Neurospora crassa OR74A: one gene and its partners. The protein of the gene in region 6 purifies or fractionates together with the protein of the main gene of each other region. This does not show direct contact. Links are inferred from orthologs where the notes say so. Each region holds a gene or a part of one and is shown on either strand. Other genes may lie near its edges.

What was found.
Region 1: the proteins of NCU04611 (region 6) and NCU01515 purify together in Saccharomyces cerevisiae (affinity purification with mass spectrometry; 9 studies listed by BioGRID, with this or other methods). This does not show direct contact. The link is inferred for Neurospora crassa OR74A from reciprocal best matches to the Saccharomyces cerevisiae genes SPT6 and RPB3.
Region 2: the proteins of NCU04611 (region 6) and NCU05120 purify together in Saccharomyces cerevisiae (affinity purification with mass spectrometry; 3 studies listed by BioGRID). This does not show direct contact. The link is inferred for Neurospora crassa OR74A from reciprocal best matches to the Saccharomyces cerevisiae genes SPT6 and RPB2.
Region 3: the proteins of NCU04611 (region 6) and NCU01164 purify together in Saccharomyces cerevisiae (affinity purification with mass spectrometry; 5 studies listed by BioGRID, with this or other methods). This does not show direct contact. The link is inferred for Neurospora crassa OR74A from reciprocal best matches to the Saccharomyces cerevisiae genes SPT6 and SPT16.
Region 4: the proteins of NCU04611 (region 6) and NCU03782 purify together in Saccharomyces cerevisiae (affinity purification with mass spectrometry, with the first as the bait; 3 studies listed by BioGRID). This does not show direct contact. The link is inferred for Neurospora crassa OR74A from reciprocal best matches to the Saccharomyces cerevisiae genes SPT6 and RPB11.
Region 5: the proteins of NCU04611 (region 6) and NCU00133 purify together in Saccharomyces cerevisiae (affinity purification with mass spectrometry; 4 studies listed by BioGRID, with this or other methods). This does not show direct contact. The link is inferred for Neurospora crassa OR74A from reciprocal best matches to the Saccharomyces cerevisiae genes SPT6 and POB3.

What each region holds. Positions count from the first base shown.
Region 1 is NC_026502.1:3,218,554-3,222,440, reverse strand, and holds NCU01515 (DNA-directed RNA polymerase II polypeptide), read right to left. Parts: upstream 2,630-3,887; 5' UTR 2,390-2,629; coding exon 2,324-2,389; intron 2,251-2,323; coding exon 1,685-2,250; intron 1,605-1,684; coding exon 1,223-1,604; 3' UTR 501-1,222; downstream 1-500. Other genes in the region: NCU01514 (mitochondrial dicarboxylate carrier), read left to right, coding at 1-66; NCU01516 (mitochondrial co-chaperone GrpE), read left to right, coding at 3,196-3,468, 3,548-3,887. UniProt on the Saccharomyces cerevisiae protein: DNA-dependent RNA polymerase catalyzes the transcription of DNA into RNA using the four ribonucleoside triphosphates as substrates. Component of RNA polymerase II which synthesizes mRNA precursors and many functional non-coding RNAs.
Region 2 is NC_026506.1:3,684,660-3,688,608, forward strand, and holds the start of NCU05120 (DNA-dependent RNA polymerase II RPB140), read left to right. Parts: upstream 1-1,149; 5' UTR 1,150-1,793; coding exon 1,794-3,949.
Region 3 is NC_026505.1:3,095,916-3,099,942, forward strand, and holds the start of NCU01164 (transcription elongation complex subunit), read left to right. Parts: upstream 1-1,227; 5' UTR 1,228-1,790; coding exon 1,791-1,967; intron 1,968-2,066; coding exon 2,067-2,151; intron 2,152-2,207; coding exon 2,208-2,329; intron 2,330-2,400; coding exon 2,401-4,006; intron 4,007-4,027. Other genes in the region: NCU01163 (GAF domain nucleotide-binding protein), read right to left, coding at 1-42, 178-180. UniProt on the Saccharomyces cerevisiae protein: Component of the FACT complex, a general chromatin factor that acts to reorganize nucleosomes. The FACT complex is involved in multiple processes that require DNA as a template such as mRNA elongation, DNA replication and DNA repair.
Region 4 is NC_026505.1:2,390,594-2,394,892, forward strand, and holds NCU03782 (DNA-directed RNA polymerase II subunit RPB11), read right to left. Parts: upstream 2,801-4,299; 5' UTR 2,417-2,800; coding exon 2,400-2,416; intron 1,541-2,399; coding exon 1,482-1,540; intron 1,359-1,481; coding exon 1,248-1,358; intron 1,107-1,247; coding exon 892-1,106; 3' UTR 453-891; downstream 1-452. Other genes in the region: NCU03781 (CobW domain-containing protein), read left to right, coding at 1-331; NCU03783 (transmembrane domain transporter), read right to left, coding at 3,625-3,807, 3,880-4,299. UniProt on the Saccharomyces cerevisiae protein: DNA-dependent RNA polymerase catalyzes the transcription of DNA into RNA using the four ribonucleoside triphosphates as substrates. Component of RNA polymerase II which synthesizes mRNA precursors and many functional non-coding RNAs.
Region 5 is NC_026503.1:2,736,155-2,740,373, reverse strand, and holds NCU00133 (FACT complex subunit pob-3), read right to left. Parts: upstream 2,801-4,219; 5' UTR 2,554-2,800; coding exon 2,543-2,553; intron 2,387-2,542; coding exon 2,164-2,386; intron 2,108-2,163; coding exon 1,614-2,107; intron 1,556-1,613; coding exon 1,184-1,555; intron 1,127-1,183; coding exon 529-1,126; 3' UTR 265-528; downstream 1-264. Other genes in the region: NCU00132 (hypothetical protein), read left to right, coding at 4,048-4,168. UniProt on the Saccharomyces cerevisiae protein: Component of the FACT complex, a general chromatin factor that acts to reorganize nucleosomes. The FACT complex is involved in multiple processes that require DNA as a template such as mRNA elongation, DNA replication and DNA repair.
Region 6 is NC_026505.1:1,505,100-1,509,067, reverse strand, and holds the start of NCU04611 (transcription elongation factor spt-6), read right to left. Parts: upstream 2,801-3,968; 5' UTR 2,410-2,800; coding exon 2,242-2,409; intron 2,169-2,241; coding exon 1,986-2,168; intron 1,931-1,985; coding exon 1-1,930. UniProt on the Saccharomyces cerevisiae protein: Histone H3-H4 chaperone that plays a role in maintenance of chromatin structure during RNA polymerase II transcription elongation thereby repressing transcription initiation from cryptic promoters.

The DNA of each region.
Region 1 (3,887 bases), on a different chromosome or scaffold from region 6:
TGCACCTTCATCTTCTTGGAGGGCCATCGGAAGATGTACAAGAAGGTCAAGGGCATTGAGGAATGAGTTGTCATTTGCTCCTCTTCCTGGCTACCTACCTTTTCTAATCTCTCTTTCTTTCTTCACCTTTCCTCCCATGTCCAGTCTTGGGAGTCTGCTTCTTAGACGGACTAGCAGCAGCAACAGCGGGTTTTCAAATGCATTTCAATCAAAAAGTTTGTGGGTGGGGACATAATGGCCGGATTTGTATAGAGGAAATCTGCATTTTAGAGGCCGAGTGGTGGTCTTTCTGTCAGGACCTAGATGGCGATACCTCATGTTTTCTTGTTCATAGGTTTCCTTTGTTAGATGTTCCCTCATCCGTCAGGCATTGAAGCGGCGGTAGGGCTGTCATTTCGATGGTGTTTTGGCTTTATGTAGTCTTACCCTGGGAGTTTGGTGTTTCCTGCAGAGTTGTGTAAAGCAAATAGACCAGAGCAGCAAGTGCTTACTAGACTCCAGCAACCGGCGAGAATGGCATCTTGATTTTTTATGAACCTCGCACTTTCGAACCGTTTATGAATGTTTTTTTTGGGTATTTTGGTCCCCTATGTAGTCGCCAGACCATGGTAACTATATTCACCTTTTGTCTATACCTCGCAATTGTGCGATAGATCATTTGCAGGGTGCCAATAACAGAGAGAGCTGTCCTCGTTCCGCTGCCTAGTATATGTGGTGTCTGGACGAGGGACGCTCAAATAAGATATGCTCTGGTTCCTCTCGCCCTGACTTGAATCCCTTCAGAATGCGCCTCTCTCCTCTCCCCTAATGTCAAGATCCAGCTCCCAAAGTTCCTTTTCCCAGTTTCCCCCAAAATTGACCTTGACGTGGCGGCTCGTGCCTAGCGCCAAAAGTCCGATATTTGGCCCTGATCCGTTCCGTGGGCCTCAGCCACAAAGTGTGGTTGAGTTACGGTCCCCGCAGTAAGAGACGGAGGCGCCACGATTACTAAGTAGATGCTGAGCTGGTGGTGATGGCGCGAGTGTGTGTATAGGAATGCGAATCTCAATCTTGTTTGAATGGTAAAAGTGTTGTGTTGTTAATCGAAGTGCGCAGCTCGAACTCGCGCCGCAAAGATACCGCAGATACCCAAAACCTCCCGGAAAAGACAGGCGCAATGACCTCGCAAGCCATCAGGAGGAGTAATTGACGTCGCAAATCGTAAACTGTAAGCATATGATGCTCAAGACCAAGGGTTTTGGCCGCCTCCGTAGGGAGTCGCTCCGTAGGGCGTGGTACCTCCCTGACCTCCCCAAGAGCTCTGGTTTCCTCCGTTTCCATATGGCGTAAACGATCCTTGGTCGTTCCAGTTGTCGCCACCTTCGTTGTAGCCTGGGCTGCGCGGTCCGTTGTATCCGTTCTCACCACCATCGCTTTCGGTAAGTTCGTGGATCAGACCAGCCAACTTCTGCTGGATGACCTTGATGCCTTCAGTGACAATAGCATCAGGGGGAATAGGACCGGCGGTTTCGACGTTGTAGTAGAAGCGTTGTGGTACGGCATCGTAATCGAACGGTTCGCCCTCCTGGGGAGGCTCCTCCCAGTCGGCGTACTCCGAAGGAGGCCTGGAGAGAAAAACAAAATGGTGAGACATCGGTCACATCAAAGGGAATTGGAAAAAGTGAAGATGATGGAATGTACTTACCACTCCTTCTTAGGATCCTGCTCATACCACAAGTCGAGGTGGTGCAGCTTGTTGTGAGGATCGTACTCGAAGCCGATGGCGGCACTTGGGGCCCATTTGGAATGCTCCTTTGCAATACCCTTCTTCGCGATGCATTGGAGCTTGATCTCCTGACCGTGACGAAGCTTGAGGATGAGGGGACCTTGGCCTTCAGGATCATTGATGATAGGCGAGCCGAGAACTTGGTTGACGCGATCGCCGACTGGAACAAGATCGCGGGCACAGACTTGCATGATGTCGTCGCCAGTGCACTTGGCGTGAAGGTTGAGGGTCACACTGCAATGCTCGCAGTATTCGTCGCAGTCGCAGTCCCTAGAATACAGAAGCTGCTCGATACCTTCGGCGTTGAGTGGAATCAGGCCCAGGCGGTGGGCAATGAATTCGTCGGCCAAAACGGAGCTGTTGGCCTCGATCTCGACTAGATCGATGGCAATCGTGGGAATCTCGGCAAGCATGACGCGACGAAGGGAGTTGGCGAAGCTGAGCTCGGTGTTGGAGAGCTCAAACTTGACTCGGGTGTTGTCCGCCTAGAATGATGGTTTAGAACGATGAACGAGCAGCTGAGCGCAATTGCTGTGAGCAAGAGCACACAGAACATACTTGTGAGATCTTGACGACCGGTCCCAGGGACTCGGCGTCGTCCATCACCATCGGATCGTAATCCATCTTTGCGTGTTGACCGGCGGTCGGTCAGTTGTTCTCGCTACAGTCGGCAGTTCTCGATGGTACGTTTTGTGGTGTATGATAAAATTTGGATGCGGGGGGAGAAACGGTTCAGGAAGTTGTGGTTCGAGGCAGGGTGAGTTGCGGTTGAGGTGGCCTTTGTTGAGGGCCGGTTGATGCGAAATGCAAGTTGCGGACTGATTTCGGTTTCCGGCGCGTTGACGGGTCGAGGTTCGGAGGCGCCACCACCTATGGTAGGACTGAGTGCGGCCAGTCGCCAATCTTGCCTCTGGCTGAGGCCGCAGCGGGCAGACAAAGTGACCAGGATTAAGCTGGCCTTATCTTCACATGACCTGGCGTTGGCTAACTCCACGGCGTGTCTTTAACAGAGTAGGTAGGAGCAGCCAGGTCCATCTCGACTCCCCCGCACAAAAGAGCCCCGCCAGGCACACCCGGGGCGCTGAGGTGTCGAAGCTCCAATTGTCGATTTGAGCAAAACTCGATGGTCCGGCAGGCAATTCGTCGATTTTGGGCGGTCCGTTCATGACCCGCTTTTCGGTTCGCTCCCGCCCAGCCGGCCGACAGGATTGATGCAGCAGCAGCACCCACCCTCCCACCATCCCACTGTGGGAGACACTGCGAAGGCCCCTGTTGGCCGCCCAACCCGCCGCCCGTCCATGCCGTCTCCGTCCCGTGCTAGCGCAGCTGTCTCAAAATTTCTGAGAAAGTGCCTCTCTCAACACGCGACGCTTCCCTGTCTCTGACATCGCCACATCTCACCACCCGTCACATCCAGATACCCAGCCAACATGCTACGAACAGCCCTCACCCGCTCTTCCAGAGCCCTCTGCTCCGGCGCCCGCGTTGCCGCCCAGCGCCCTATTGCTTCCCAGATCTTCCAGATGCAAGCTGCCCGGACAGCTGCTCCCCAGCTGCGCTCCGCCGCCCGGTGGTACAGCGCCGAGGCTGAGGGTGAGAAGAAGGCCGACGAGGGCGCCGAGCAGAAGGAGGGTGAGACCGATGAAGTTGCTGCCCTCAAGAAGCAGCTCGAGGCCAAGGACGCCGAGGCCCGCGAGTGGAAGGTTGGTTCTTGAGCTTCAAAGCATATGCACATACAGCCATGATGGACAAGTCACTTACACGGGATGCCCCTCTCTACAGGACAAGTGCCTTCGCACCGTCGCCGACTTCCGCAACCTCCAGGAGCGCACCGCCCGCGACGTCAAGCAGGCCAAGGACTTTGCCATTCAAAAGTTCGCCAAGGACCTCGTTGAAAGCGTCGACAACTTCGAGCGCGCCTTGAGCGTGGTTCCTCAGGACAAGCTCAAGTCGGAGGAGCAGTCTGAGCACCTCAAGGACCTCGTCAACCTCTACGAGGGTCTCAAGATGACCGAGAGCATCCTCCTTTCGACCCTCAAGAAGCACGGTCTTGAGCGCATCGAACCTGAGGGTGAGGTCTTCAACCCCAACGAGCACGAGGCCACCTTCATGGCGCCCATGC
Region 2 (3,949 bases), on a different chromosome or scaffold from region 6:
TTCCGACGGAGCCCTTCGAACGCGGCTCAAAACCCTCAGGCAAGACCTTGGGCTACCAGCACATTGTAGAGTAGAATGCAAAGACCACGCAAGTCTGCTACCAAAGTTTCTAAGCGATTGGAGGTACCATCGCTTCCAATACCATCGGCGCAGGATGAATCGAGTACGGAGAACAAGCATCCCCACAGGCCCATGAGAAGCCTTCAACAACACCGATCCTGATCAACCGGCCTCTGCCCTCGTCAACACACAAACGGCGCCCGCAAAGAAGACCTATCAGACTCATGTTGGCGTTGCAGCAATCGCAGCTACGGTCCAGATCGTGCCCGTGCTGATTTCGCCCTTCAGCGGGGGCCCTCTAACGGCGTACATCAGTGCATTTGGCTTTTTGGTGTTGCTGAACGTTGAAATGGGTGGATAGCATTTTCTCGGCGACGCTCATATTATTCCCCAGTTGCAATGGTGCTCATGGTAGTTGTCCTCCATGGGATTGGCAGCAAAGGATGGTAGGTTCTGAAGGGTTTGATCGAAGCAAGGCGAGTGCTTTCATTGCATCTGCCTGATGAGTTGCTGGGATGGTGTTCTTATCTCTCTCTCGAGGTTGATAACCTCAACGCACGGTCCATGTTGGATGTTTGTTAGCTCGGTACTTCAAACAAGACACTCCGACCTTTGTAAGGCCGGCGGAAAGTCCTAAAGATAATTCAAAACAAAAATGTAGCGAGGTCCAAAACATGTCCGAGAGAGACAGGAGTCGAAATGGCCAGAGATAGCGTTGGGAAGAGGAGTTGAAAGGGCTTAAAAAAACGTCGAATGTATAGAGAAGTGGCCCCCAAACAAAGTTTCGCTATACCAGGCAGATGTAAATGCTGCGCCTGCTGTGAGCTGTCGCCGGCCGACGTTTGACCTGGGAGCCTGGGCCTTTGACCTCCATCGTTGCCGGCCGGATTTGGCGGGGACTTGGGTGAATGGACGTTATGTTGCATTAGTAAAGCTGCAATCCAACCAATCAGCTTGACGAACTGGCCGGTTCAAGATCCACTTTTGGCCTCGCCGCCTGGAGCTTGGACTTTGTTCAGTCTGTGCTTTGCCAGCAGCAACCACGTCTGGCCTGCCTTGTAGCCCAGTCGGACCTTGTCTGTCGGTTTGGGATTTTGGAGTGGCACTCTCCGTCCGTCCCTCGCTGGCGTTCGGCCACTTTCCCCAAACCACCATCACCACCTCCTCAACCAACATCGCGACCTCCTCCGCGCGTGTTGTCCTCTCACCCCGCCACTCCCTGCAGCCGCCGTCGACGTTTCTGTTGCGCTGCATCCATTCTCGCACAAGTCGGCATCCATCGACTCGATCCGTTCATTTGCATCTCTTTGAAGCGGCAAAGAGGGTGCAACGTCGCGTTCCGACATCGACAAGGAAAATCCGAAAAAAGTGACGAGCTGTAGATGGGCGACTGAGTGATCCTCGGCCATCTACCACCACCTACCGCCGGCTAACCCGAGCCGCGATACCCATTTTGCTTTTCTCAATCGACCGACCGTTATCTTCTTTTTTAATCGACCCCGGATACCCCAACAGCAGCCAGACCAGACGCTGTCGTCGCGTTACCGCCTAGTCTAGTGCCTGCCGATTCCCGGTCGGACCTTTCATTCACATACCCCGCCACCGACCGCCACCTTTCAGGATCCATTCCCGATTCATCGATCACTTGTTCAGCCAGCCCTCAGCCCGCTCGACAACCATCCTCTCGCCCGTTCACCAAACCACCTGCACCGCTCGCCTTGCTGATTTGCAAGATGGCCGCCTACGCAAAGGACGGCAGCCAGAGCTATGGCGGCTATGGAGACACATACGACAATGATGACAACTACGAGAACCTCTCCACTTTCGACGACGAAGATGACGGTTCCGACCCCAACGCCATCACGCCCGAGGATTCGTGGGAGGTCATCTCTTCCTACTTCGACCTCAAGGGCCTCGTGTCCCAGCAGATCGATTCTTTCAACGAGTTTACAACAGACACAGTGCAATCTCTAATAGACGAGTATGCCGATCTTACCTTGGACCACCCAAGCCCAGGCGACGACGAGGGCAGAGAGATCATTTTGCGCAGATACGACGTTCATTTCGGAGAGATCATCATTTCCAGGCCGACCCTCACCGAAGCCACGGGCGAGACTATTAGTCTTCTCCCGTACGAATGCCGTGACCGCAACTTGACCTACTCGGCTCCCATCTACTGCAAGGTCACCAAGCGCGCCCGTATCGCCGTCAGCGAAAAGAAGCCCCTCAACCAGCTGACCGATGACGAGCACGACCACATGGCCCGCACCGGCGAGCACCCGACTGCTCTGCGCTGGATCGAGGAGGAGAGTGCGCCACCAGAACCACCCAAGGACGACAAGATTAACCCGGAAAACCTCAAGGGCTATCTCTTCCTTGGCAAGATCCCTATCATGGTCAAGTCCAAGATCTGCCACCTTTACATGGAGGACGACGAGTCCTTGTTCACCCTCAACGAGTGTCCTTACGACCAGGGTGGCTACTTTATCATCAACGGTAGTGAAAAGGTTTTGATTGCCCAAGAGCGCTCTGCCGCCAACATTGTCCAGGTCTTTAAGAAGCCTCCTGGTGGCAGCGTCTCGTACCAGGCCGAGATCCGCAGTGCTCTCGAGAAGGGCTCCCGTCTCATTTCCTCCCTCCAGATGAGGCTGCACACAAAGGCTGACCAGAACAAGGGTCGTTTGGCCAACACTGTGAGCGTCACCCTGCCCTACGTCAAGGAGGAGGTCTCTCTCGCCATTGTGTTCCGTGCTTTGGGAGTTGTCTCGGACGAGGATATCCTCAACCACATCTGCTACGACCGCCGCGACAGTCAAATGCTCGAAGCCCTTCGTCCCTGCATTGAGGAAGCCTTCTGCATTCAGGACCGTGAGGTCGCTCTGGATTACATTGGCAAGCGTGGTAACGGCAGCACCGGAATAAACCGCAACGGCCGTATCAAGGCTGCTAAGGAGATGCTCCAGAAGGAACTGCTACCCCATATCTCTCAGGCTGAAGGTTGCGAAACCAGAAAGGCCTTCTTCCTTGGCTACATGGTTCACAAGCTGCTCCAGTGTGTCCTTGGCCGCAGAGATACCGATGATCGTGATCACTTTGGTAAGAAGCGCCTGGACTTGGCTGGTCCTCTGCTGGCCAAGCTTTTCCGTGGCATCGTGAGACGCCTGACTCAGGATCTCATGGGCTACATGAAGCGCTGCGTTGATACCAACAAGCACTTCTCCCTGGCCCTCGGTATCAAGGCCTCCACCCTTACCAACGGTCTCAAGTACTCGCTTGCCACTGGTAACTGGGGTGACCAGAAGAAGGCCATGTCCTCGACTGCTGGTGTGTCCCAGGTCTTGAACAGATACACATTCTCGTCGACCCTGTCGCATTTGCGTCGTACAAACACGCCCATTGGTCGTGACGGTAAGCTCGCCAAGCCTCGTCAGCTGCACAATACACACTGGGGTTTGGTCTGCCCAGCAGAAACGCCAGAAGGTCAGGCTTGCGGTCTGGTCAAGAACTTGTCTCTGATGTGCTTCGTCTCGGTGGGTACACTGGCCGATCCCATCATCGAGTTCATGATTGCCCGAAACATGGAAGTGTTGGAGGAGTACGAGCCTTTGCGGTATCCCAACGCCACCAAGGTGTTCGTCAACGGTACCTGGGTTGGTGTCCATCAAGATCCCAAGCATCTCGTCACTCTTGTCCAGAACCTCAGACGCAAGAACATCATTTCGTTCGAGGTTTCGCTGGTTCGCGACATCCGTGACAGAGAGTTCAAGATTTTCTCGGATGCCGGTAGAGTCATGAGGCCGTTGTTTGTTGTCGAGCAAGAAGACAACAGCGAATCCGGTGTCGAAAAGGGTCAGCTCATCCTTACCAAGGAGCATATCAGGCGCCTTGA
Region 3 (4,027 bases), about 1.6 Mb from region 6:
CTTGGTGACGTTGGCAGCAAAGTTGGAAGCGTCGGCGTGAACCTATAAGACGAATACCGTGTTAGTCTCAACCGTCCTCAAGTTTGGAGAAGCCTGTAGTTCGTAGGTAGGTATGCGCGATGAGGTCTTCAACTGTCTCGAAACAAAGGATTGGACTGATTGAAACTGTTCACGAACCATTTTGACGTATTATTATGACCCTGTTCTTTCTATGTACAAATCTTGAAAATCGACCTAGAGTGGTGGTGTTGGACACCGAGGAAGCGAACTTCAACTTTTGAAATTTGTCATTCACTTCTGAATCCGGGGAAGTGGGGCCAAATGGCACTGCTCCGGTCGGGTCCGTGCGGAACTGCCGCCGTACCGGCAGCCGATGGGCCGGCCCCGAGTGGCCTCCGGTGGATTCACGGTTTCGATCCCAAAGAGGACCGGACTGAATCACCAGCCGGATAAAGGAATCCAAGATAATTGTGCGGATACTTACTAGATGGTGTGGGAGGCTCGTCCTCGCTTCATACTGGGCAGGATACAGCTCAAGGGCCCTTCTCGGAAGTTGTGCTGATGGCAGCTTGTCTTCTATTAGTGATCTGGACCTTATGATGTGCTGTCTAAGTTACCCGAACCAAGGTCCAGAAGATGCCCAAATGGTTGTCGAGACGGCAGCGGGAACTACTTATTTTTGCAGTACAGCAGCTCGCTTTGCAGTGAACGTCAAATCACGGACAAGTGATTGGTTCGATGGGCACAGTTCGTCGTCTTCCACCATTCAGTAAAGTTTCCCGTCGGGCAGATGTTAGCCAATTTTTCCATCTCATGGCGGTATCTTCCAGAATGCCGATCTATCAAGTATAGATGTGAAACATCACAGGTTTTCCGAGCGGCATCTTGGACATTGCTCTTTGCACTTGTACGCGGTGTCTGGGCCCGTCGAGTCTATTCTTGAAGATAGTGTTGCTGTCGTTTCGCACAGTGATTGCCATCACTCGTTCATTTATTCATTCAGGTTGACATGGGTATCAGCTCTAGGTTGATCGCTGCTGAGGACGTTCTTTGCGTCGAAGTAAAGAAAGGTGAGTTCTGGTTAGTACGTCTACTAGTATTTAAATGGAAGAAGTTCGGCACCCCAGAGCTTCCATCGCTTGCCAAGACTTAGTTTAATCGTACCTGTGCATTGGAAACTTAGCTCCACCCCTCCCGTCCCTCTGTTTCCATTCCACGCCCTGTCCCGCCTGTCCCTCTTTCATCTCCATGCACTCGCTGCAGGGCACCTAAAGAAAGAGGTACAAGTTCGACTTACAAAGTTAACAGAATCGCAAGTTGTTGGAAGTCCCGACGACACCATTTACGCTCGTCTATTTCCATCATTCATCAATATACTTCTCTACGATTCCCATACTACAGACCTTTCAGGAATATCACCATTGCCGTGGCAACCAGCATATATAGTTGCCTCAGGCACAGAACAGAACCTCTTAGGCATCCTAACGCGAAGGCAGTGGACAGGGGCGCCAAGAGCTGTGGCCCGTGACGTGAGCGACGCGCGACACGGGAATTTTTGTGTCTTTGGCCTGGAACCGGATCCCGGCTGGCAAGCACTGTAAAGTACTAGCAGTGCCGGCTGGAGAGGTGTGGTAGCCTTGTTTCTGTCATCTTGAAGGGTGTCTGCCGCCACCGTCAGTACCAGAGCAAGCAGCCCCTCGCCAAAAGCACGACTTCACCCAAACCCAAACCTCTGCTGATTTGATTGTTTCTGCCATCTTCAATCGCGCGCCGCTGTGCCGTCGCTCATCATGGCAGACATCAAAATCGACAGCAAGGTCTTCCAGGAGCGCGTCTCGCACTTCTACAATGCCTGGAAGGCCGACAAGCGCTCCGGAGACGCTCTCTTCGGTGGCGTCTCTTCCATCGTCATCCTGATGGGCAAGGTCGACGAGAACCCCGAGTTTCACAAGAACAACGCTATCCATGTGAGTTTTGCCCTCTGGAGAGCCCGCTCGGCGTGCGCTGGCTGTACGTCTGGCGGGCCATTCCAGTCAAATGACAGCTGCTGATAGCTCTACGTAAAGTTCTGGCTGCTAGGTTACGAGTTCCCGACGACCCTCATGCTGTTTACCCTCGACACCATCTACATTCTCACCACCCAAAAGAAAGGTTCGCCCGGTATTCCCGACCCAAGAACGCGGACAAACTATCTGACACGTTAATAGCCAAGTACCTCGACCAAGTGAAGGGCGGCAGATACCCCGTTGAGGTCCTCGTGCGGGGGAAGGACGCCGCCGAGAACGAGAAGCTTTTCATCAAAATTACGGATGCCATCAAGGCTGCGGGCGTAAGTTACATCCCATCCTGGGCGCACATCAACATCTCGGTGCGGTTCTAACACATTTTCGCTCGTTATAGAAGAAGGTTGGCGTCCTTACCAAGGACACCTCCAAGGGCCCCTTTATCGACGAATGGAAGAAGGTCTATGCCGATAACTGCAAGGATGTGGAGGAGGTTGACGTTGCCCAGGCTCTGTCTGCTGGCGCCTTCTCCGTCAAGGATGAGACCGAGCTTCGTGCCATGCGGACCTCGTCCAAGGCTTGCGTCGCCCTCCTGACCCCTTACTTCCTCGACGAAATGTCCAATATCCTCGACCAAGATAAGAAGATCAAGCACAGCGCACTAGCCGATAAGGTCTTCAACAAACTGGAAGACGATAAGTTTTGGAAGACCGTCGAGCTGCCCAACCGACAGAAGCTCCCGGCTGACCTCGATCCCGAGCAGCTGGACTGGATTCTGGGACCGATCGTCCAAAGTGGTGGCAAATTTGACCTGAAGTGGCAGGCTGATTCTGACAATGATATACTCCACCCGGGAATTATCATCGCGGCTATGGGTCTCAGATACAAGTCCTATTGCTCCCAAATCGCCAGAACTTTCATGGTCGATCCCAACAAGTCCCAAGAAAGCAACTACAAGTTCCTACTTGCTGTCCACAACCTCATTCTCAAGGAGATCCGGGATGGTGCCATTGTCAAGGATGTTTACACCAAGGCCTACAACTTTGTGCGGTCCAAAAAGCCCGATCTTGAGAAGCACTTTCTTAAGAACGTCGGCTTTGGAATCGGCCTGGAGAACAAGGACCCGACCTTGATTCTCAACAACAAGAACACCCGTACCCTTAAGGATGGCATGACACTGGTTGTGACCACCGGCTTCAGTGATATCCAGAACCCCAACCCCCAAGACAAGAACAGCAAGGTCTATTCCTTGATCCTTTCCGATACGATCCGTGTCACTAGCTCCGAGCCGGTGGTGTTTACTGGCGAGGCGCCTGTCGATGTTGATGCCACCTCGTTCTTCTTCAAAGATGAGGAAGAAGCACAGCCCACACCGAAAAAGGAGAAGCGGGACTCTAGGGTGGGTGCCGTTGCAACCAAGAACATCACTAGCACTCGTCTACGCTCTGAGCGTAATACAACGGTAGATGAGGACGCGGACAAGAGACGTCGCGAGCATCAGAAGGAACTCGCGCAGAAGAAACAGAAGGAAGGCTTGGCCAAATACGCCGAATCTACCGCTGATGAGAATGGCGTCGAAATCAAAAAGTTCAAGCGCTTCGAATCTTACAAGCGGGATAATCAATTCCCGCCCAAGGTTAAGGATATGGGCATCGTTATTGATCAAAAGAACGCGACCATAGTACTGCCTGTTATGGGCAGGCCGGTACCCTTCCATATCAACACCATCAAGAACGCAAGCAAGAGTGACGAGGGCGAGTGGTCATTCTTGAGAATCAACTTCCTATCTCCTGGCCAGGGTGTGGGTCGGAAGGATGAGCAGCCCTTCGAAGATGCATCTGCGCACTTCGTCAGGAGCTTGACTTTCAAATCAACCGATGGCGATAGGTATGCTGACATTGCAAACCAAATCTCGAACCTCAAACGAGACGCTGTCAAGAAGGAGCAGGAGAAGAAGGATATGGAGGACGTAGTTGAGCAGGACAAGCTCGTTGAAATCAGAAGTAAGTCGCTTTCCCGGATCA
Region 4 (4,299 bases), about 890 kb from region 6:
AGCCGTGTTGGCGGTTTCTGCGAAAACTGCGCGGGAGGTGCTGAAGAATTCGGATGAGGATACCAAGGTTCCAGTACCACCTACGTCCGCGGGAAGCGAAGCTCAAACGACGAGGTATATCCTCAACTGGGCGTTTGGAAGGTGGACGTTTACACCTGTTGCGGCTGAAGTCAAGGAGCACGAATCCAGCAGTGAGGCGATACTGAGGATGACCATGATTCTGGCCAGGTATGAGAGCACCAAGTGGAAGAAGAGACTGGAGGCTGGTGGGTTGTTGGAGCTTGAAGAGGAGAATGGGAAGGGCGAGTTGAGCGTTACCAAGGTCAACTAGAGAGCGGCACGTTTGATAGACGAGGAGCTATGGATTATGTATGAACGAACAATAAGACTTCGGGATAGAATAGAGCGCACCTGATGGGAGCAAATAGAAGCAGACGTCCCAAAGACATATTGACAAACTTCTTAAAAATTCAACATCCACTCCTCGCATACTCTCACCACAAGACACCTTGAACAAATCTATGGTTCCCATTCTGCCCTAGCATTGAGCGAGTAAACGGAGAGATCTGTCAAAACCCCTTATTTTCCATATCCCATGCATGTCTTGATCATTAACGCCTGCAAAGAGACTGACTGAAAAGCATCCTCAAAGAAAATCCCTAAACGCCGTTTTTGAATGACGACCGATCCGATCAACAAAACAGCAAAGATAATGAGCTAATCATGTTTTCACCGTCCATGCCACCATCGCATCTCTTTTCCCACCCCCCCAATTCAGCATCGGACGACCTTCGTAAACTTTCCTCCGGCAGTCAAGTAAAGTAAAGTAAAGGCGTGTCGGGAGTAGAGTAAACACCGCGAACAACCCCGTTAAGGCGGGCATCGATTCGATCAGTAATGACCGCCATTAGCGCCGCCGTTCACGCCGCCTCCCTGCTCGCCCTGGTCAGCATACTGGCGCAGGGCAAGCTCCTTCTGGAACTCGCGGCCCAATTGGCCGTACATGGCCACGAGCTGCTTGCACGCGCCAACGAGAGCCTCGCGCGGGGTGATGCTTCCGTCTGTCTGGATACGGATGAAGAGTTCCGGCACGTTAGGGTGGGCAACTAATAATTACGTGTCAGTCAGTTTCTGTTTATCTCGCCATGGGTGGTGGTGGTGGTGGTGGTGAGGGTTTGTGTGGGGAGGGGGGGTAAAGAGAAGAAAAGTAAAAGTGAAGTAAGACGCGGCGGTACGACGTGACGTACTCTTGTATCCTGCCATCAAGACATGAGGGGCCTGCTTCAGATGTTCGGCGAGGAGGTTGCCGAGGGTGTGGTCCTCCTTGAGAATCTTGAAGTCGGAGGTGTTCGACATGCCTATCCAAGTAATGGAAAAAAAAATCGGGGTCAGTTTTCTTGCCATTTCCTTCTTCTACTATTTCTTCTTCTCCCCACGTATCACCTCATTATCAAGAAGATGAGGAGATCGACTCGACTCACCAGTGAAAACCTTCTCCTCAATCTTCTTCTCTCCATCCTGGAGAAGGAAGAGCTCGAACCTGGTTGTTTTTGGAAGCAAATGTCAGTAATGTTTTCCTACTACCCAAAAGTGAGGTAATGATGAGAGTATAAACGGAAAGAAGAAGGCGGACCGGTTCGGCTCGCTGTTTTGCTTGGGATTGGCTCCGCTCATCTTGTTGATCTTGGTCCTGTTCGCTGTTGCCAGGTGACGAGGAGGGCATGGAATCAATATCCTTCTTGTCGTGATGGACTGTGTGCTAGTCCAAAGGGATGTTGGTTTGACGAAGGGTTTAAGTGGTGTATGAGGAGGAAGTCGTCCGCCTTTTATATCGTTGACAGCCAGCGACTCTCCATCCAGATTGAGTTTGGTCAAGGTGAATCCGTGGTAGACAAGTTACCCACCAACTCCCAGATCGCTAGTCTCCCAGCTGCCTCGCCTGCCTGTTGCCTTCCATTTGCGTCCATGGTCCATGATCAGATGAAAGCCGTCCCGTTTGTTTCGCGTTCAAAACAATAGGCACCTGGCACCAGCAACCAGACAAACACCGCCTACCGGAGGGGAAGATTGAACCAAGCTCGTAGACCATGAAGGATAGACACGTAAGGCTAAGAACTGGGGCGGACTATTCGAGTGTCTGCCTGTCCGTCCAGGTCGATTTGTTCCATTGTCGTACTGAGATGAGTTGACATTGCGGTTCCAGTCGACACCGGCATGTGACATAATGACTTTTGACATAGTCGTTATGATTCCTTGTCGAACGCCCTCAAGAGATTTAAGGCAACCCAGGTCGAGTGTTTCCGGCATTTGCGTGAGGCGCGTCGTCCAGGGCAGAAGGAAGAGGGGGGTTGGTTTCTCCATGTGGAAAGAAACCAGCAAGAAGAGAAGATTCTACTAACCTATCAGGGGCGTTCATTTTGGCGATTGGCTAACGATATGACGTAGAGCTCGTTGTTGGTTATCGGTGGTGTATAAACGATTGTCGTCGTCGCCCGATATCGTGAATTTGCGATATGGTGTTGAGGTTGAGACCGGGGGGTGACGATGTCAACTGCTCAAGAACGTCGAGTGGTTGATGTAGCAATTGTGTAGATTCGCTCTTATGGCGGGACCGGGGGAACGTAGGAATTTCGATACCCAAAATTGGAGCGTGAATGGGACAGACTACCAAAGGTTTCAGTCGCTCAGGTTTTGATACTGCTCGTCAGCTGGTGAAGGTTTTGATCTTGGTGAAGGGGGTGGGATGTTTTAACACAAGTGAACGCACTTGATCGATGTCTTCGAGGTCGTCCAGGTTGCGCATCCACTGTGAGATGGGGGCAACGCAGTTGGAGCACTGAACTCCGGATCAAGGTACGTGTGGTCTGTGCGCTCAGTTATTTCAGCGCCATCCCGCTTTTGGATGACTCGGTCCGCTGGGCTGTATACATACATGCTTGCAAGGGAGGGTTAGGGTTCAACAAAGAAAGAAAGCAGTGAGCTTGCTTGTTGGCGAAGCAGACGACGGCGACACACTGTGGGGAAGGAACTCTTTCCAACCATGAAATGAGGATGGTAGTATGCAAAGAGTAAACCGATATATGGAAGGTCATCGTAGCTACCACACTGTTCGCTCGAACACTGTTTGCAATGGGAGAGAAAGGCCGCCCCTCAAAGAGTCAGAGATTGTAGAGACTGCTAGGGAGAATAAACCCAGTAATGACACGTCAAAACAACAGTAAAATGACATCGACACCATAGACGTACAATGGGGAAAATGCCAGACTAATCAATTTATTCAAAAGTCAAACTATTCTCGCTCCATCGTTATGGTAACGAGCTTCTTCAAACAAACAGGGAAACGCTTCCCTCACGATGCAATACAAACTCTAGACATGCTTCTCGGCAACAGATTGCTCACTCCCATCAAGTCTACAGTGTAGTCCATCCCACAATCATCTAGTCATAACCCATATGTCTTGCTCTCATCATGTCGACCCCTATCCCATGATTTCCTTTCATTCTATACAACCATAATCATATCGTCGGATCCATTGTTCTTGATAAACCCCAACGCTCGTCCCATATAATCAAGAGGATACTCATGACTCATTCCGTGATCAATACGTACACGTTTGCACGCCTTTACGGGTTCAATCCCTTAGCATCGCAATAGCCAGGCGATTCTCCGCCCTCTCCAGCGCCGGCCCAGCTCATGACAGTCAAGGTAGTCGTGTACGCCATGGCAATGAAGCCAAAGACGCACAGGGCAACATCCGAGAATTTCCAGAGAGCGCTTCTGGCGACGCCCCTGTAGTGCAGCATCGGCTGTTTGTGACTGTGTTAGCGTCTGATTGATCATCTACACAAGAAGGAGCAAGGGTACGTAGCAAAACTCACCGGATAGATATACACCAACGGGATGCAAGCAAAGTTACCGACCAGTGCGACGAACTTGTCCAAGTTATCGGCACCCGCCCATGCAACCATGGCGCAGAAAGCGACGACAAAGAAGCGGAACACGTTCTTCTGCCACTTGATATACGGATTGTACTTTCCGCTCTTCGTGAAGAGTGCATTCTCCGTGATCCTGATGGCGGGGAAGATCTGCAGTGGGGTCGAAAGCAGGATGGCGAGCGAGTAGAGGAACTGCACGCCGTTGACCATTTTGTTGTCCTGGGGCAAGTTGAGGAGCACGACTGTCTCGGTCTTGGAGCCGTAGGCGGCATAGGAGACGGCGCCCATAACGGTGAACAAAGTGGTGATGATGATCATGACGACGGCCATCACCTTGGGGAACTTCTCCGGGTTTCTCATGGA
Region 5 (4,219 bases), on a different chromosome or scaffold from region 6:
GACAGAGCGGGAACGCATAGAGGTAGGTACCTACCTACCAGGTAGGTAGATTTTTGACCGCTAGAGCGATACCCACCTCAACCGCCTGCACGCCCTGCAGGCTGATACATTCCATGCCGTACTTTTGGAGTACGGCCTCTATCCATCCTGCGGCCCTGAAGAAGAAGCGAAGTCTCAAAGGATGTGCCGATGTCTTATGTTCGTTGTAGTCGAAGGGGAAAAAAAAGAACCATAACGGATCAACTAGGTAGCTGACCATCTGCCTGCCGCTCTTCAGTGTTCATTAGCTCCATTGCGCGCCCAAGTTGAGGGAACATCGAGATACTAGTTTGACACTGCCGTTGGGAATGTCGTCTTTGACGCCCCAAGTATCGTATCGATATATGGTAGAGAAAATACAGAATTAACACATATTCGTGTCACGAAAGTACCGGAACGCCCCAAATACCCAGCTGCCTGCCTGCCTTCCAGCCTGTGATCTGCCTTTTTAATCAAACAAGTAACGACGCGCCAACATGAAAAATAAACCTAAGCCGTCTTCTTCTTCTTCTTGGGGCGCTTCTCTCCCTCGTCATCATCCATATCCTCATCCTCATCATCGACCCGATTGTCGACGTCGCTCTCCTCGCTGCCCGACCCATCACTCTCATGGTTGCTGTCGTATTCCTCCGCCACGTCGCTTTCGGACTCAGCCTGGAAGTCCTCATCCACGCTCTCCTCATCCTCGTCAGCGGAGCCACGATCAGCCTTGGGGCCGACGGCCTCTTCGTCCGAGCTAGCCATGTCGTCATCGCCCAAGGCGGCGGCAATAAGGTTGGTGTCATCATCAATTTCGTTCTTGACACGCAGTCCTTTGAGCTTGAAAAATTCCTCGAGAGCCTTCAAGTCTTCACGGTTAATGTTGCTGAATTGGGATGAGCCCGCGCCGTTTTTCATGTGGACTGTAATGTCGAACGTCGACAATGCCGAGACCGCACCGCCCACGCGTGAAAACGTGATGGACTGTGTCTGTTCGTATGAGATGTACGTGGCCGGCTTGGGGACAAACATAAACGCCTTCTCCAAGCAGTAGAGGAATCCTTCACTGGCTTTGATAGAGCACTTGATGCCGTACTGCTGACGGTGCCTGCGGGTTCCTAGGTCAGTACCGTTGCTGGCTATGAAATGAACAGATATAACTCACGTTGTAAAGTCCTTGGCTGGTGTAGTGACTTTCTTGTTCGCAAGTCCCTTGAAAATGTACGCCACAACCTGATGAAGTGGTTGCTCGTAGTGGCTCTGAAGCTTGTCCTTGTATTTTCCGTTGAGTTCCTCCTCGGTGATGTTCAGGTCAAGAGTCACCTCTTCGTCCGCCTTGAACTGCATCACCACAAATGGATAACGTGTTTGACCTTGACGAAGGGGCGGGTCGAGACCAATGCAAAGCAAGAAATGGAGATCGTCCGGCTTGGGAAGCACCATAAATTTCTTGATAGCATCGTATTGGATCTTGTAGTCGTATGTTTTGCCACGGAGACGGAAGGAGGCATCGTACATGTCGATGTCGAAACGTCCTCTATCGGGAGAGTTAGCACCGGAAAAGGATCAACAACCAGCGTGCAGTTTCCACGTACCTGGGCGTGAGATGTAGCACATCGAGGAATGTAGCGATAGTATCACCCGCCGTCTCACCAATCTCGGCCTTCTCAATAAGGGTGTCGTAGAACAGAGTCACGGCGTTCTTCTCTTCTTCATCGGCGTCGCTACCAGCCTCACCACCCTCGGCCTCCTTTCGTGTTGTCGTTCCAGGGATGTAGAAGCGCACCTCGACCAGCTGATCCTTGCCGGCCGACGCCTTCTTGCCCTTTCCGCCTGTTCCGCTGTGACCGTTCGACTTGCCGCCATCGTTGCCGGCGAACTCGACTGCGATTTCGTTCCTTCCGGCAAGATTTGTATTGGAAATCTCGGAGTAAGGAATCTCAAAGGCCGGTCGGTTTTGGACGTTGAAAGTGAGCTCGGCTTTGCTAAACTCAGCCTTGCCCCAGTTCCATCCTCTCAGAGAGTGTTCCTTGTTCTCGAGGTTCACGCTGTACCAGTTCTTGAAGATCTTGCTAAGGCGCTCGTAATCCTGTGGCAACACGTCAGCGTTCCTTCGCTTCGATGGCGCGTGGATAGGTTTCGTACTTCTTGGTGGAAACCATCGAGCTGAACTACGCCAGAGCTTCGCAATAGGATTTTAACCTCATAGCCCCTCGCCGCCCTGCTCCATTGAGCACCGCCGATGTTGCTCGAGTCGAGAGTGAACGCTTCGCCGCCACCCGCAGGTTTCCATCCCAAGCCATTTTCCGCGAATCTCGACTTTCCGCTCTCCTTGGACAGATCCAAGTAGATATTGTCAAAACTCTCGCTGTAAATGAAGGTATTAGAAATGGCACTGAGCTGTGATCTCCGCCGGTGAAAGCCGTGCCCTACGGCGTAGATGGAGCGGGGCACATCCGTCGTCGCAGGGTTAGACGAGCAAGAGCGCGCGAAAGCATGAAATCCAGAAAGGTATGCGACTTACATGGCAGCCATATTGCCCCTCTATCCAACTGGTTTAATGGTGAGTTGGGGTTGATGGACAAGTTGGAAATGGCGTCTGATGTTGTGGCAGTGATTGCAAAGTGTTGCAAGCAAATACTGATGAACAATCCAACTGAAGGTTCGCGTGCCTCGGAGAAAGTTGACCGTGTCGCGACTAGGCCAGTTCGTTAATTGAAGGTTAATTCGGCTGGCAGGTGGCATTCCGCTGGGCTAGGCGACGACCCATGCTGGTGGCAGGTGGCAAGTCGCAGTACTACTGTACGTGTAGGGTCTACGCAGTGGGCAACAGCTTGGTTGTAGCGCGTGGCAACTGTGAGCTTCTGATTTCTCTCCCAAGCCTGCAAGAACACCACCACTTTATTCAGTTGTCACCTTCCAAGGAAGCTTTGCCAACGACACACAGGCCTTCTTGTCGCTCTGAGAGTCATTCACTGTTTGTATCATCTTGAATGTCTAAAAGAAACTGCGTCCTCTTGTCCTCCAATCTGTCGCGATCTACAGTAACACAACACCTTCCATTCTCTTGTAGTTACGGATCAACAATTATGTTGGGTGGTTTTTTCACATTTGAATTCTTTGTATCTCGCTCCTTCTTGCTTGTATTCGTTCCGCTAGTGCTCGGCCCGTTGAACACGGGAGGGAAAGAGGACGTTCCAAGCGAGTCGCTTCGTTACGTGGGAAAAGTGTCCCCTCGCGACAAGCGTTCCTTGTTTGGTCAGAGCATTTTGAAGCTTTCAACTGGTTCCAAATATGCCACTTGGGTTGCCACTCTCAATCTACTAAACAAACTCAACATAGCTTCGGTTCATGGACATGGGCGCGATTCCCAATATCGTCAACCCCCCAAAAAGCATGTGGGGCTAGCGCGTGGAGCTTTAAGTGGTTGCATATGATATCTTCCGCGCCTGTTTCATGACATGGGATTGTATTAGAGGTACTTAGTCACCTTAAGTGGTAATGTTCTCTGCCTTGTACCACTTCTTGATCTCTTTCTTTTTCTTCCCTTGAACACAAACATAACTCTCAAGTTAGTTCGTTCTTGTTGTGCCCATTGGCTGTTTCACAAGGGCGGAAGACTCGCTCACCGAAGGTGACAATTCCCGTCGTAGACGTTCCTGCCTGCGGCCTTGACCTGGAGACCACGAGGGGCACTTATACGCCACCCCACGATTGACGTATTACATGCTTGAACTGGTGGCATCCCGCACACCCGCTCAAGCTGCCCCGCCTCGACTTCCTTCCGTCACTCGTCTGCCCTGATCGTCATATTTCGCTCGGTTTCTTTATTCAAACAGAACGAAGCTCTCCTTTGTTGCCTGGGCCGTTTGTTTGCCTGCTTCAATTGAACCTTAGCTGGAGCTATTAGTATACCGAACTTCCGACTTGCACACTTACTTGGCCCCCCAAGGATCCCAACGAAGCTTGAATCAATCTTTCCACCATCAATCACTCTTGTTGCCTTGTTGTTTCTACACCTTTTCAAAGATGAGCTTCGAGCGTCCCCTCCGTGGTGGCTGCCAATGCGGCCGCAATCGTTACATCATCCAGTTTCCGCAAACCACTACACAGGCGGCGCAAGTCATCTTCAACCCACCGCCTTCTCAATGTAGGAACCTGTCCAGCGATACTGACTCTCAGGAAATTCCGATCACTATCT
Region 6 (3,968 bases):
GACGCCTGACTAGCTCAGCCAAGGCCTCGCGTTGACTCTCATCGCGAGCTAGGTTGGTAAAGGTACCGTGTTCGAGAATCCTTCCATCCTCATCCATCGAGACCCAGGATACAGGTTCACGGTTGGGATCGCCCATGCCATTCGATAGCGTGAGCACGCGGGGAGTCGTGCCAATAACCATACCTTTGGGCTTATAAGGGGCTTGATCCAGTCTCTTGAAGTAAAGCTCACGGCAGGTTTTAAGCAGCTCATCCTGGCACGCCGTCCGCAAGGAGTCTTTCACACCCTTGACAATAACCTTTACCAGCTTGTCAAAGGCCAAATCGATCACCTTTTGACGTTCCGCGTTCCACTTGTCGGCAAGCTCGCTAAAGTTCTCCGAGGCGAAATCACTAAAAAGTTGTTGCCTAAATTCGCGGTCGTTCTCCAGCGAAACTTTAATTTCGATGAGCCCTTCTTCCTCTGCCTTCATCATCTTGAGGAAGAGCTCCGGGCGAACGGCAAGATCGGCGATAGACATGTTTTTGAGATACTTGACCTCGTAGTAAGGATTTGCTTCGTCAATCTTGCGTAGACCCTTGTCAGTACGACGGCAGCTCACAATGCCCATGCCGTAGAAATTTTTCCTGAAGTGTTTGCGCATCCGAGGACTGGCAAACATTTCTTCAGCAAGCATCTGGCGAGCAGCATTGATGACCAACTCGCCGGTCGGGAAATCGGCGTCTACCAATGTGTCGGCCAGGTCATCTGGTAGCCTTGAATCGTCCTCTGAGGTCACCTTGCTGCTTTCGCGCAGAATGTTCTTGGCAAGACGATCAGGCGTTATTCCGAGTGCCTGGACAAACTTGTAGGCATTGGATCGCCGGATGCGTTCAAACTGGGCTGTCCTGCCACCGGCCCTCTTAATCTCACGCTGTGCGCTATTATCGTTGGCAGCAAGGTCCTTCAGCTCCGCCGAATACTGGAAGTTTAGGTAATCTTGGAGATCCTGGAGCTCCTCAATGGACTGCGCTTGGCGTATCATCTCTTCAAGGATATCGTCCCGGGTCTTTTCCTTGAGCTTGTCGTAAGTTTGTTCTAGCGCGTTACGCTTCTCCAGGAAAGACCGGAACCTGATGTCGAGATCCAGGACCTTCCACAGGTCATCTTGGGTAAGGAGCTTCTCGGCGTCAACAGTATATTCGGGAGCGTCAGGATCGTCACGGCGATTCGGGTTGCGCATCTTCTTGGCGTGGATGAGGTAGTCTCTTCGGTGCTGGAAAACGTAGGGAACTTCGACGCCGTCGATAACGAAGAATTCGAGGACCTTGCCCACGGCCTTGTTGAACGGACCGTGAAGCTCACTGGAAAGATTTTTGCTGGGTAGCATCAGGTTGCTGATCCACCGAGCCTCCTCCTTGAACTGATCGGACGTCATCTGGAGATTCTTGAAAGCCTTGCGATCGAGCTGGAAGCGCTCAGGCTCGTCGTTGAACCGAATCCTGTTATCCTCGTCGGTAAGAAGCTTCTCCTTGAGCTGCGAAGGTTCGAAGACATCCTGCAACTCGATATCTTCCTTTGTTCGCTCCGCGTGCTCCTGCTCTTCCTCCAGCTGCAACGCCCATTCGTAATCTTCACCATTACCGAAAATGGCATCCATGTCCTCGAGAGCATCCTTGTCGAGGCCGGTTGTGTCGATGTTGAGGCCCCTATCCTTGGGACGAGCAACCTCCTCATCTTCTTCGCGGTGTCGACGTTCTTCGTCATCCTCGGGGTAATCATCTTCGATGAAGTCGTCGAACTCGTCCGCTTGAGCCCGGCCGCTGGGACGGCCGTAGCCTCGATCATCGTGCTCTTCGTCCTCATCGGAAAAGATCTCGGCAAGACCGCGACGTTCAGTGGGGCGGTGGTCATCCCTATGACCCCGTTTCAGGCGCTTGAACTTGGTTTGCTTGGAAAAAGGTGAGCCGACTGGATGATATCACCGGAAACCGTAGAGCACATACCTGGGGTTGTGGCTTCCGCTCCCACTCAGGAATCGCTTCACCAATCAGGTCGAGATCTTCTTCGTCGAGCTGCTCCTCCTCTTCGCGCTCACGACGGCGCTTCTTTCTCCTACGGCGTTCGCGCGCATCCGAATCCTCGGCCTCGTCCTCTTCATCTTCGTCTACGATGAAACCTTCGCGAATCTGTGAGCGGTGGGTGTGTCAGCGTTGTTCCCAACCGGAGCTATGTTGCAGCATCGGGCCAGAGGCGGCATACCTTTCTAGCCTCTTCCTCATCTTCGTCGTCCTCCTCCTCTTCGCTGGAATCATCAATGTTGGGTCTTCTTCTCGGGCGGTCGCCGGCCTCCTCATCAAAGGACTCATCATCCTCCTCGTCATCGAGCTCGGCCTCGCCGTCAATCAAGTCGCGCATGCTGTTGCTCATGGTTACGGCTGGTTGGGGTGGCGCAAACTGGTGTGTAAATAGGTGTCTTTTCGGACAAGTCTCGACCGCCTAAGAGGGTCGGAATTGGAAATGAAGCGCGTTTCGATGGGAGCAACAGTCGCTCTTAGGGTGCTGATGAAAAAAAGAAAAGAAGAATACAGGAGGAAGTTGGGTGAAGAGCGAGCTCGTTTGGTGAAAAAGAAGTGATTAGCAATTGAAGGAGGTCTGAGTTGACCGCGACTGCCCTGAACCTTTCTGGCCGAAAGGCTGCCCGCTTGCTGCTGCTGCCGCCGTGTACGTGCTGCTCGCTCCTAGGTGGTTCGCCTGCCGCCAGGTCACGTCGGTCGGTGCACGCACGTCAATTGTGTAGTGTCGACCAGACCCGAATTTTTGGAGCAAGACGGCGGGCCAAGCAAGGCCCGGCCACCCGCCCCTGTACATACCCTCCAACTGAACTTGTTACGCCACGCGCCACATAACGCGTTCAGCCTCGCCAAGGCCCAGGCCATAGAACTGTTATGTACAGAGAAAGAACACATGGCTTGGCCCGTGCATTTCGTCAACATTGAACGGCGAGCAGCCCCATCACCAACTTCCAGTTGTCCCGAATTCTTTATGTTTTGTGATGGCATCTTTTACTGTGCTTGTCATTTTGCTCACGAGGATGTCACAACGCCCTTTGGGTTCGTGCGAAAACAGTTCACAGATTTCGTTAGGCCAGTCTCGGACCGTCACGACCATACATCTTGACAGCCAAACAATCTGGAGTTCATCTGTCAGGAGAACAACAAAAAACAAAAACAATATTGTAAAGTGCACATCGGAGCATATGGTGCCGTGTACAGACACCAACCGACACCAACCGACACTATCCATGCCCTCGAGGGGAGCTAGCAACGGAAGCTCTAACTATGATGTTGAGCACATTGGGCATGTTTATGCAAAGTTCAGTCGCCGACATGCTTGAACTCTGGGATCCGCATGGCTAAACTATATCTGAGAGACGTTCATGCCGCGCATCATGGAACTCACCACTTGAGTTGAACCGAGCATCTTTGGTTTCAGATGTTCTTCGGGGGGTCATGATCCCCAGCCATCCGCGCTTAGACCCACCATTTGGCACGCATATCTCGAACAAGTCCCTGGCATCATCCGGATCACAGCCGACTGTTGGTTCTGGTCATGCCCAATCACAGCGGTATTTTGCTTGATTCGACATCTCATGGCGCGCTTCTTGAGAGCTCTGGGGTTGTACGAACATGACGTGCACTGTGCTTGCTGTGCTGCGGTTAGACTTGAAGATGGTCCTGTCATTGGCATGTTGATACTTTTCTTTTGTTTTGCTGGTAACAGGGACACATGCGTGCCAGAGAGTTTCTTCATCTCTTGCCTGTAAGCGAGCTACACTACAAGAGCTTCACAGGGTCCACTGGAGATAGGCTGTGCGCAAGATGGCACCGTCTATTTATAAGTACGTATGGCTAAGTACCTGGGAATAGCTTCGTCCGGACCTCTCTCAGAGTCCGCACTGTATTTCCCCCCCACTACGGTGTGCCGTC